Neurospora crassa OR74A: one gene and its partner. Each later gene encodes a partner of the first gene's protein in a complex. Links are inferred from orthologs where the notes say so. Each region holds a gene or a part of one and is shown on either strand. Other genes may lie near its edges.

Evidence for each region.
Region 2: NCU03827 (region 1) and NCU00564 share a complex: the UniProt entries of both Saccharomyces cerevisiae proteins name them as parts of the mitochondrial small ribosomal subunit. The link is inferred for Neurospora crassa OR74A from reciprocal best matches to the Saccharomyces cerevisiae genes MRPS9 and MRP2.

Annotation. Positions count from the first base shown.
Region 1 is NC_026505.1:2,535,242-2,541,828, forward strand, and holds NCU03827 (mitochondrial 37S ribosomal protein MRPS9), read left to right. Parts: upstream 1-2,356; 5' UTR 2,357-2,988; coding exon 2,989-3,844; intron 3,845-3,971; coding exon 3,972-4,063; 3' UTR 4,064-4,926; downstream 4,927-6,587. Other genes in the region: NCU03825 (hypothetical protein), read left to right, coding at 1-58; NCU03826 (elongation factor 1 gamma domain-containing protein), read right to left, coding at 479-1,439, 1,497-1,545, 1,814-2,000, 2,096-2,125. UniProt on the Saccharomyces cerevisiae protein: Component of the mitochondrial ribosome (mitoribosome), a dedicated translation machinery responsible for the synthesis of mitochondrial genome-encoded proteins, including at least some of the essential transmembrane subunits of the mitochondrial respiratory chain.
Region 2 is NC_026501.1:7,984,999-7,990,387, forward strand, and holds NCU00564 (mitochondrial 37S ribosomal protein MRP2), read right to left. Parts: upstream 3,193-5,389; 5' UTR 2,988-3,192; coding exon 2,881-2,987; intron 2,800-2,880; coding exon 2,628-2,799; intron 2,510-2,627; coding exon 2,447-2,509; 3' UTR 2,091-2,446; downstream 1-2,090. Other genes in the region: NCU00565 (lipoic acid synthetase), read left to right, coding at 587-1,583, 1,645-1,940; NCU00563 (hypothetical protein), read left to right, coding at 4,499-4,566, 4,632-4,747, 4,818-5,389. UniProt on the Saccharomyces cerevisiae protein: Component of the mitochondrial ribosome (mitoribosome), a dedicated translation machinery responsible for the synthesis of mitochondrial genome-encoded proteins, including at least some of the essential transmembrane subunits of the mitochondrial respiratory chain.

The DNA of each region.
Region 1 (6,587 bases):
GGCCGTAACCGGACACGAGGGTGTTGCTCTCGCTTCTACTCCAGCTGCGGCTCAATAGGAATGTTCAGGATAGAGCATAGGAAATAATGAGATGGGAGTTCTCGGTTGGACATGATCATACCCGGTAGACTAGACTGGTTACAGCGAATACGACTTCGAAATGAGGATAACTTTCATGGAACATGCATGGTTCACCACACTTTATTATGCATTTACGGGAATGGAATAGCAATTGGCCATGAAAACAACTTTTATCGGAGATTTCGACAGGTTACTAGCATCTACTAAAGACTCATTCATCGGCGACGACTATCCATCAGCGAGCGATACACATGAGCTCATGAGAAAAAGGGGCAAAAACGGCTTGTCCTTCGAAACCCATCAATATTTGTTCATCAAGTCATCATAAAATCCCGTAGTCTAGTAAACTCCTGTTGGTATAACCTCCTTCCTTAAATTAATTTGTTCGTGGTATCGTTTATTTGAAGACCTTGCCGGAGGCGTGGGGGTACTCCTTGCCGTTGACAAGGGCGGGCTTGTCCCAGGACCACTCAGCCTCGACGAAAGCGCGATCCTCAGGGTTCTGGGGGTCGAGCTTGGTGAACTCGTAGCTCTCATAGTCGGGAGCAACGTCGAAGACGGGCTTCCAGTCATCGCCACGGATGACGAAGGCACCCTGAATGACGGAGTCGTTGTTGGTGCCATAGACGGAGGCGCAGCCGAAGAGGTACTTGCGAGAAGCCTCAAGACGGTTGTTGAAGCCACCAATCAGGTTGTTGGACATGAAGGTGAGGGTGAGCTCATCGTTGTACTTGTAGTTGACCTTCCAGATGGAGTACTCAGTGAAGGGAACGTTCTCCCAGAACCACTTGAGGGCCTCGGGGGTGTCAACGTTGGAGTACTGGCGCTTCCACTCGTCGAGGGGGAAAGAGGCACGGGGAAGGGCCTCAAGGGGGTGCTTGGGCTTGGGGGCCTCAGCGGGCTCCTCAGCGGCAGCGGCGGGAGCAGCAGCGGGCTTAGGGGCGGCGGGCTTGGGGGCCTCAGCCTTCTTGGGGGCGACGTTGGTCAACTTGGGGGTATCAAGGAGAGCGAAGGGAGGAGCAACGGCCGAGTAGATGGGCTGGTTGTAGACAGTGGTGTACCAACGGGTGACGTTGGGGTACTGCTCGCGCCAGGCCTTGTCGAAGAAGAACTCGAAGCCGCGGGCAATGATGCCAGTGGCGAAGAGATCGGCAAGGGTGATGCGCTCGCCAACGAGGAAGGTGTTGTTCTTGAGGTGGGCCTCGGCGACAGAGATGGCCTTGAGGGCAGTAGCCTGAGCGTCCTCAACAGCCTTCTTGTTGTAGGGAGCCTTGCCAAGGAGAGGGCGGTACCAGCCAGCAAGAGGGGGAAGGACCTCGGTGTTGAAGAAAGAGAGCCACTTCAGGATGGAGGCATAGCTGAACCACGCGTTAGCAAGTGATTGCACAGGTTTGGATGCTCGATCATAAACTTACTCCTGCTTGGTCTTGCCGAGGAGAGTGGTCTTCTCGTTCTGGGAAGCGACTGTTGTCCGTTAGCCATGACTGTCCAATCAAGATACGTGGCAATTGCAGGAGGACAAAGAGTGAGTTCGACAGTCAGAAGTTAGAACCAAGTCAACACCGTATTTCAGATAGGGATAACTGTTTGAAAAATGTCTCGGTCATCAGGTCGAAGGGGCAAGGGGTTGTGCGCTAGCACATCAGAGGGTATCTGGCGCAAAGTTGATGCGTGTTTCAAAGTGCGGGGCAGGGCAGTCTTGCTTGACGCCCAACATATTCTGTCAACGTACCATAGATGGCGATGGCGATGCACTCGAAGAGAGTGTAGCCGTCGGCACCAACGAAGGTGGGGACCTTGCCGAGAGGGTTGACCTTCTTGTACTCCTCGATGGCAGCCTCAAGGTCGACCTTGATAACCTCGAGGTCGAGGTTGTTGGCCTTCGCGACAGCCAAGATGGCCGTGGAGCGGGGGTTCGCCTAGTGAGCAGAATCTGTTAGAATGTCGGCGCTCGTCCGCAGGCGCCCGCCGTGTCAAGACGAGCGCCGCAATCTCTGAATTCTGCTCATCTTACCTCGTAGGTGTAAAGCTTTCCGAAGGCCATCTTTGATAATTTGATCAATGATGAGGAAAGATGGGTTTGGGAAGAAGAGGGGTGACGGGGAAGCAAATAAAAAGGGATCTGTGCGATGGATGATGTGGATGGGAAGACACAGAGGAAATTTTATCTGTGGTGGGGCATGCGCGCGGCCACGGCAGTGGCGGGGAAATTGCCTGGCTGCTGAGCCTGCATCCCGTTTTGGCGGCTGGGTTGCTTCCCCTCACATCAGAACCTCACAGCGCTGGAACTCGACAGAATGCATGAGAGAGCTCAGTACCTTAACCGCCCGCCGGCCCGTTGGCGGCTGTGGAAGGCTGCCCAGATGGGATTCCATTGATGGTACCTAGCGAGGTATGCTTTCGGCCAGTGATTCACACTTCCGCTGTCTGTGCTTTCAGTTCCCTCGTGCCATGCCTTGATGGCTGCCAGGCTTCCAGCCCATGGAAAACGGTGCCGCTTGATTGCCGGGCATCTTGTCTTATCTGCCTGCCGGGCGGAATGGTCCCCCTGTCGGGGCCGCATGCGTGGAGGGGAAGGTGACGGGAGCCCAGGTGAGGTCGGGTCCAGTGAGTGCGGTGCTTGAGTGGGAAGCATGGGTGGTCCGAGCTCCCATTTTCCGCTTGCCGGGTGGAAAAATCCTCTTGCGAATTGTTCCGCCGCGGGACGGCCCACGACGCGCAGACGGGACCCGGAGTCCGGACCTGATTGACCACTGCCCGCGCTGGACCTGCCCTCGCCCCCGACAGCCCCAAAGATACCCATCGGCGAGCCGACCACACCTCGACCCGAACCCCAATCCCACTCCTCTCCCGATCCAGTAGCCCTCGGGGCCCGATAATGTACGAGAGGTGAACAGCCGCTTATGAATGATGGCATCTCTTAGACACAGCATTACCAGTGCTCTTCGGAGCTCCCGCCAGGGCTGTTCCAAGTCGGCGCAATGGCAGTCGCTTGACCAGCAATTCGGCGCTTTGCGCATCAGCTCGAGGTCCCTGTCCACCCACGCCCACGACCACAACCCGAACGTAGATGGCCAATTCATCGCCGCCCCTGCGCTCAGCATAGACAACTTCAAACTCCATCCCTATGCCCGTGCCGTCCCCGTGTCGCCCTCGTACTTCACCCGGACGCCCCGGTTCTACGACAACTATCTTTCCCTAGAAAAGCTCATGGAGGAGTACGAAGACCTTCCTGTCATCCCCGCGACCGCCGTCGAGCGCGTGGCCTGGAAGACGCTCGAGGATATCAGGAAAGAGCTCGGCGAGCAGGTCAAGGCATCCGAGTTCGCAAGGTGTCTGGCTCTCGTCAAACGGCTCAACTCGATCCACCCCGACCTTAAGCCACAAGAGATCAAGGATGTGCTCGACAGCTTCAGGCGCAACGTACAACCCTTTACAAATGTCGCCAAGCCGATCCCGATTGACCAGTTTGGCCGCGCTTGTGGAGTCGGCAAGAGAAAGGCCTCGAGTGCTCGGGCCTTCGTGGTGGAGGGTACCGGCGAGGTTCTGGTCAACGGGAAGACCTTGGCCGAGTACTTTGGGCGGGTTCACGATCGCGAGAGCGCTGTTTGGGCTTTGCGCGCAACAAATCGCATTGACAAGTACAACGTCTGGGTCAAGGTGGAGGGTGGTGGTACCACGGGTCAGGCGGAGGCCATTACGCTGGCTATCGCAAAGGCCTTGCTGGCTCATGAGCCTGCTCTGAAGCCGGCGTTAAGAAGGGGTAAGCTTCGCACTACATTACACATGTTTTGGTTTTCTATGATTGTGCCTCGCCATACAGGCTTTCGCGGTATGGTAGGTAGGGATGATGCACCTTTGCTAACAAGTCCCTCTTTCTTTTACTGTAGCCGGATGTGTCACACGCGACCCGAGGAAGGTCGAAAGAAAGAAACACGGCCATGTCAAGGCCAGAAAGATGCCTACCTGGGTCAAGAGATAATCGCCCTCCTGCTACAGTTTGCGGTATTATTGGATGGGTTTCGTTTTTTGGGGGGGCATTGTGAATATGCTGCCTCAGTTTCGGTTTATGCACGAACGACCAGTCAAATGGAGCGATGCTTTTTTTCCCCACCAGCGCAGCATCACAGCTCCTTTCTTTCTGGGAAGCATTTTCTCTCATGTGCGTACTCTATATGTGGATATGCATGTGAGTGTCCGTCTCGCTTGTGGCCTCGCCTGGGCCTACCAAGTTCAGCACAGGTCGATCTCAGGCAAGCACGCGTGTACTTGTACAGGAGGGGTTCAACAAACCGTGTTAGGGGGGGGCCGGCACGACCTTGTTGTGTGTGTATAATACAATCTATGTGTGTGCTGGGGGGGTTACAACGGTTCTTTTTGCCATGGAAAAAAAAGGTATGCAAACCGATTCGACGCCCGGCCTCTTCAACCGGCATCACTGCAACTTTGACATGGGTTTTGCTTGTGATGGGTTGACTGATTCGTGCGACTACAAGTCATGAACCATCCGGGGGTTACATCCAATGTGTAAGAGGCATGCCGAACAACTCCCATCTCACAGATTAGGTGGGAACGATACGCACTGCAGGGCACACGTGGGTTAGCCGCGCTGTCAGAACCGCGTTTTCTGAACTTCAGATTCCGTTCCCGTGGCGGCAGAGTGCAATCCGTGTTCAGCATCCTCGCCCGAGGGCCCTGGGGGACTGTAAGGATCCTATATAAGATGGTGTTTGGTAACCATTTGTCATGCTTTATTATTGTCCCAAGTCCCACCATTCCCATTATGCTTGGCCCGTAATGAGGTCGGAATAGGTAGTCAGAGGTCCATACACTGCAGTGCTCACGTTCGCGTTCGTATATAAGTGACCTATGTAGTATGAGGTGGTCGAGAGTATGCTCCCTTTGACCTGGATTGTCATGGCAAAATCACCCAATTTGTGGATGTGATTGGTGCCAGATGAACGCATTGGGAGACTTCTGGCAGCTGATGAGACCTATGCGGTCCCGTCTCGTCTGAAATCACTACTTGATGGTGTCGATACATAACGATGGTTTTATGGAAGCTGCACAATATTTCTGCAATATGACTGGAGAGGTTGAGGATGAAGTCGTCAACAACCGGTCCACAGACACACACACACACACACACTTGGCTGTGGTGGTCTATCAGGTTGTTGTCAAGGACAAATATGCTTCTAGAAGCTGTTTCGAAGTCGGATGTGACATTTTATGGGTTTCGTCTTTTCCAATGACATTTTTAAGTGGACAATCTGTTTCTTGTCTAACTGTCATTGAGAGCATACAACCCAGGAGTTGTTGTTTCTCCTCATACATGCAATAGTCAGGATCGCTTCAGTGTGTTTTGATGACATGCTCAGTGACAATCCTGATCAACCCATTGTGTGGGCTGATAAATCTACGCTACCTCTACCCACACCGAAGACGTACCTTACATACAACTACGTCTTTGGTGACCCCGCTACGCCGCAAGGTAAAGGATGAAAAGTGCGAAGAAATCACGAATTGCTGGAGTCATTCATGATACTGTTTAGAAGGGAATGCCAAAATGCTTTTAGGAGTTTAGACGCGTAACCCAAGGCTTGGGTAACGGAGGAAATGAGGGCTGTTTTGTGATCCGTTATGCGAATGGCCGCTGTCCTGTAGGATAAAGTCCGGTCTCGTGCGCGCGTTCGCTACCAATCTCCCATGTTCGGGAAACAGCTGGATTTCGAATTTGAATTTGACGTTTGATGCTCTTGAATGCTCGAGACTAGTAACTAGCACCTCGATATGAGAGATTTAGGAATTGGTATATCGATTTAGTAACTTCAACTCATGTCCGATCTTGGCCTCAAGGCCGGGGGTGGCCCGTGCGACCAAGTATTTTGCAGCGACTTTGTGGGTACATATGTATCGTGGATTCAGTCAAGTCAGACAGTTGACTTATTAGCCTCGGTCCCGGGAGGGGGAAAACCAAACGATGCATCGATGGGCTGGTGTTACGCCGTATATCTTTAGATTATGCGAGTGTAAGCGCTTGAACTGCTGCTAAATGGAGTGCATGACCATTGTAATGACCCAAGGAAACGTAAGTGGATGCTGTCACGACGATGGACCTACACTACTGCATAGACGGATTATTTATCGTTCGAGCTGATAACTACCTCTAGGTACTAGCCAACAATTCGTCTTGTGAGTGGAAACGTAGTGGCTCGATTGCGACAGGTCACAACTAGTTAATGTGAGCGGAAACATCATGATTGTCAAAGGAATTGACTCAGTGAAGAAGGAACGGAGGGAATTTGGTGATGCCTTCTCGTAGAGGTCAGCGGCGTGGCAGATACGTGTAACTGTCCGAATTTCCAAACAGTTGTGAAGTTGGAGAAGTTGATCGGTTCATGATTTGAATTTGGCCGCTCTGTTCGATTGGCAATGGCGTTCGTACTGACTTGTACCATAAGCACAATCGGAACGGTATTTCGTTTGCCATGCCTGTGAAATCCAAA
Region 2 (5,389 bases), on another chromosome or scaffold:
TGAAGGGCCTGGAGGGGCTGTTGGAGCGAATGCCGTCAACCAGCAGATGCATATTCGACGGGATTTACATATATGGAAATGCACAAAAAGATATAAGCTCATGTCGTTCCAGGACCCTCGCCACTAACACCCAGTTCCACCTTTGGTGTAGCAAAATGTTGAAACAGATCGGGTAGGATTGTCTGCAAGTCAGTCAGTCGGCTGCTTCCAGACTCCCACGCGCAACAACATGGGGTGAACTGCTGGACTCCAAAAGGGTTCGCAAAATGGAGTCATCGCCGGCAGCACAAGGAATGGGGGTCCCGGTCTTGCCGGTTCAAGAGCTGCCTCTAATGCGCCCCGGCAGCTGGCGGGTATGATCGGCGTTACGTAACCGGACATGGGCGGCGTGGGCCACTAAAATTCATCAAAGGCTCCAAAAGCGCCGGCGCACCGGGGGGCCGAACTTTTTGTCTCCATCCCATGCTCCCCCAACGGTAGTCATCCATATCATCCGCATCCGCCACCCAAGATCCCCCGGCTTGTTTGCAGCAGTTCACGACTGGTAGGGTTCCGGCCAGCTCAACACCAAGACTTATCACACATCATGGCTTCACCGGTCCCGATCCAGCGTCTCCAGGCGCCTTTGCGGAGGTCTCTTGCGCGCGCCGCCGCCCTGTCGACTCGGTCATACGCCACCATCCCCTCTGGCCCATCCAGCCAGCCGACATCGCAAGAGTCATCATCAGCTGCATCCGCATCCGCGCCCGCAACCAAGCCGCGCCCGACCTACTTTAAGGACACCACTCTCGCTTCCCTCGACGACTTTATCGCAAACCAATCGTCAGCCGCTCCTCTCGCACCCAGCGAAGCTTACACCCTGCGCACAGCCGAAGTCGGACCCGCCGGCAAGAAGCGTACCATCACCCGCTTGCCTGAATGGCTCAAGACACCCATCCCAAGTGCTGGCGCGAACCCCGAATTTGCCAAGATCAAGGCCGACCTGCGTGGTCTCAATCTTCACACAGTATGCGAGGAAGCTAGGTGTCCCAATATCGGCGAATGCTGGGGCGGTTCTAACAAGGCCGCCGCGACGGCCACCATCATGCTTATGGGCGACACCTGCACACGTGGCTGCCGCTTCTGCAGCGTCAAGACAAGCCGCAAGCCGCCTCCGCTGGATCCTCACGAGCCCGAGAACACCGCTGAGGCTTTGGCCCGCTGGGGTCTCGGTTATGTTGTGCTGACGAGTGTCGACCGTGACGATCTGGCCGATGGTGGTGCCCGACACTTTGCAGAGACGATTCGCCGGATCAAGCAGAAGAAGCCGACCCTGCTTGTCGAGGCCTTGACCGGTGACTTTGCTGGTGACTTGGACATGGTTAAGATTGTGGCGGAGAGCGGACTGGATGTGTATGCGCATAACGTTGAGACTGTTGAGAACTTGACGCCTTACGTGCGTGATCGCCGTGCCACATTTCGCCAGAGTTTGAAGGTGTTGGAACACGTCAAGAAGGTCCGGGGCAAGGAAGGCATTATCACCAAGACCAGCATCATGCTTGGTCTGGGTGAGACTGAGGAGGAGCTCTGGGAGGCTTTGAGGGGTAAGTCATACCAATTGCGCTTGCCCATTTGATGGATGCTGACCATGATGTTGCTTTGTAGAATTGAGGAAGGTCGACGTCGATGTCGTTACCTTTGGACAGTACATGCGCCCAACCAAGAGACATCTCGCGGTCGAGAAGTACATCACTCCCGACGAGTTTGAGCTCTGGAGGCAGCGTGCGCTTGACATGGGCTTCCTGTACTGCGCTAGTGGTCCTCTGGTCCGTTCTTCATACAAGGCCGGCGAGGCTTTCATCGAGAACGTCTTGAGAAAGCGCTCTGGCGAGAAGGTTGTCTCTGAGGCTCTTGGTCAGGCGGTTGCCGCCGAGGAGGCGACTAGCGTCCAGTCCTCTTGAGGCAGCTTATGCTAGATGTGGTTTGCGGAGCGTGTTTCAACATTTATAATCGGGATCTAGGCTTTCACAGCTATCCTGTGGCGGGCAAAATAACAGACGGATGACGGATCGGTTATTAGGCACCTTGGGGGTTGCATGCGTTTTGGCGTTAGGGGAGATTGGTTCTTTCGATTACTTTGAAAAAGACATTCATTCGTTTGCCGTGTCTGAATATAATATTGTAACAACAATTCTACACAGCGGGCATCGGGAGAGAGATTCCCATGTCCAAAAGGATGCATCATACAAACTCCCTCTGCCCACTGAAAAGCTTTTGAAGCACTCCTCATCATGCGATCACTTACTTATACGGGTATCTCAAAAACCCTGCGTACAGTGATACTTTCTTACCAACACGATGGCCCGAGCCCATCTGGGTTTTGAACAGAGTTTATTCGCCTCTGGGCGTACCGGCACCATCTCCAAACCACAACAAACCTCTGGGTTCCTTGTAGCCATGCTCTCTTTTACCAAGAGGCCTTCTTGACACCCGGAATGTTACCCATCAGGGCGTTCATACGGAAATTGTACTGTTTGCGATCCAACAGTGTTAGCAAGTCGCGCGCCTTTGCAGGTTTCCATCATTCCCATGCGGAGCTCAGCTCTTAGGACACCACTCCTTCTTTGAAGCAATCGATAGCGACATACTCTTGTCATCTTGAAGTCCCTCAAGATACCTCGACTCTTTCCACCAAGGATGCAGCGGTTCCGGATCTGCGTGGGCCTGGTGTAGGCATGCATCTGGGTGAGCTGGAGCTGGGCGACGGCCCTGGTACGGGCAGGGAGGGTGGTGTTGCGAATAACGTAACGCAGGGCTTGTCTGTATCATAAAGCAAGGAGTCGTCAGATCGTTTGTGCTTATTATAGTCGCAAATAAGGATCGCAAGGCGTAGGTAGTTACCTCTCAGGCTCGGCCTCCAAAAAGGCCTTGCGCTTGGAGTGGTCACGAAGGACCCGGACGTTGGTGAAGCACCCGAGGTCGAGCTTCTTGGCACGAAACATGGACATTTTGGCGGTTTGGTGTTCTGGGGCAGATTGGCGGGCTGAGTCGGAGATGGGCGTCGATAGCGGCGGATCGAGGCGCGTAAATCGATGTCACAGGCACTGCAGTCGTTGCTTCCCTCCGGCGTCGTCGCCCGCTAGCCGCAGTCACTCTCCCCGGCTCCCACGGCGGCCAGTGGCCTGTGCGCTTGCCGTCCAGCCCTGCCGCGTGCGGAACGACAAATTCTGCCGGGCGGTGTCATTTTCATCGCAGGTTGCAAGCGCCAAACCAAGCAGCAACAAACACTTTGCCAGGTGTGCCAGTCGCACACCAGCTGGACGGCACTTTTTCTACGGGGCTCCACTCAAACTCTCAAGCTTGCAGCTCGTGCACAGGCCACATCTGGGCCTATTTAAGACTGGCCCCCCCTCCCAAATTTTTACCTGGTTTTTTCTTCTTTTTTTCTTTAGCTCTCTTTGCCTTTTGGCTTAGATCAAGTGTAGTATCTGTTCTTTTCAGTTTAATCTCTGAAACTGCTCTACGGAGTAGAATCGTGATTATTCTAATTTTTGCAACTCGGTCGGCATCCCTCTGGGCTTGCCTATGGTTGCCGACCACTGTGTCCCTGGTATTACACTGCCTCCAGGCGACGCGAACTCAACACTACTACTTGCTTTGTGCTCATCTTCACTTTTTCGTTGCAATCTCTGGCTACAGGCTGGGGGTGTGAGGAAGAAGGATTGTTTTGGATGGGTTGACTGAGTGGTGCCTTTCGAATCATTCTACCTACCAAAGATGTAGTTGTCGTATGCGAAACGAGTGTGTTAAGTTCACCCGTACCTTACCGAATACGTTGTTCACGGGTTGCAAAGGTTGATGCCTGCCGTTCGCATGTGACAACCACATCCACCACCACTTTCGTACGTTCGACGCACCCTTTACCAATGCCTTTGATGATCGCTGGTGTTTAGCAGTATACGTTCTATCAGTCTACGGATGATTGCTCTCGTTTGCAGCAACCTTGAGCCTGCCAAAAGAAACACCTGCATGTTGAAGCGGCTTTCGGTTTGTGTGCGACTGTTTCCTATGAAAATTGTTTGTCAAGCAAGTTATCTCTATGATGGGATGGGGAAGGTCTGGATGAGATGGGCAAGAGACCCTACAGTATGTCAACACCTTGACGGTTGCAATGTCATCGCGGTTTGGCCATTCATCTGAGGAGAGGGAGTCGAGTGTCTCGTTCGTTGTCTGTTTACCTTCTCATGTTCGCTCGTTAGTATCATCCCATTCCGTACTCCGACTTCGCCTATCTCGTTCTGTGCCTGAGAAGGGAAGAACAACTGCTGGGCTCCTTCCGTCCCATCTTCAACCGCTTCCGTGGCCTTCGAGTTTCTTCGCGATCCTCCAAGCAACGAAGTGTTTAAATACTCCTCGACGCGATCAGCGTTCTAGGCTATCCTTCCTCTCGCTTGCAACCGTCTTTTGACTCCTCCACAACAACGCACCCAGGAAACTCGACGACTTTCCAACATACAAGATGTTTCGTCGCCGTTGGTCAGGCCTTCCGGCTGAACCAAAGTTCGCCCCAGATCTCAAGAAGCTCAGGTTCGTGATAATCTGCCTAGTCATCCTTCCCACGACACTCACTCTGATATATCTTGTGCGTATAGTTATTTCATCAACGAGGAAGATGAAGTTCGCTACGTGCATGACCCCGACTTCTACTTCAAGTATTTCTCGACCAAGAACACGAGGTACAACGACTGCCAGCGCTTCGCATTCGACCGTATGTAACAAACTCCCTATTTCTTACAATAGTTTGAGCTGATACTGACCCAAATGTTGCAATCTAACAGAGGCAGTCAACCAAATCATCGACTCACGGCTGGAAGCCGAGGGTCTAAAGGAAGTCCTCCTCCCGCTCGGGGTTGCCAGCAAAGATGAACCTCACGCCAAGATCCGTCTCAGCGAGGATCTCTCTAGCAAGTCACGCGTCGTGATCATCTTCGGCCAGTCTTGCCAGGACTTTGGCATTCTGGCACACCGTGTCGCTAGCGGACAGGGTGGTCTCAACAAGGGCTCGATGGTGAACATAGTCAAGGCTCTCAAGCAGCAGAAGTCTTCCGCCACCGACGACGCTGCCCCTGGTATCATTCTCGCCAACCCCGGTGACCTCTGGTGGTGGCCTGAAGGGAAGAAAGGGCTGAGTGAATTTGCTCGTCATCAGATTCCGGGTAGCAGTCTGGTTCACTGGGGCTGGCACCACGATCCGGCGAGGAACAGCATTTCGGAGAATGCCAATCCGACGGAGCACCTCAAGTATATCTTTGAGAAGGTGGTGCCGCAGTTCGTCAACGATAAGGCCAAGATCGATGTCATCGCGCTTGGTGACATGTCGGACGAGGTGGAGCAGTATCTCGACAATGAC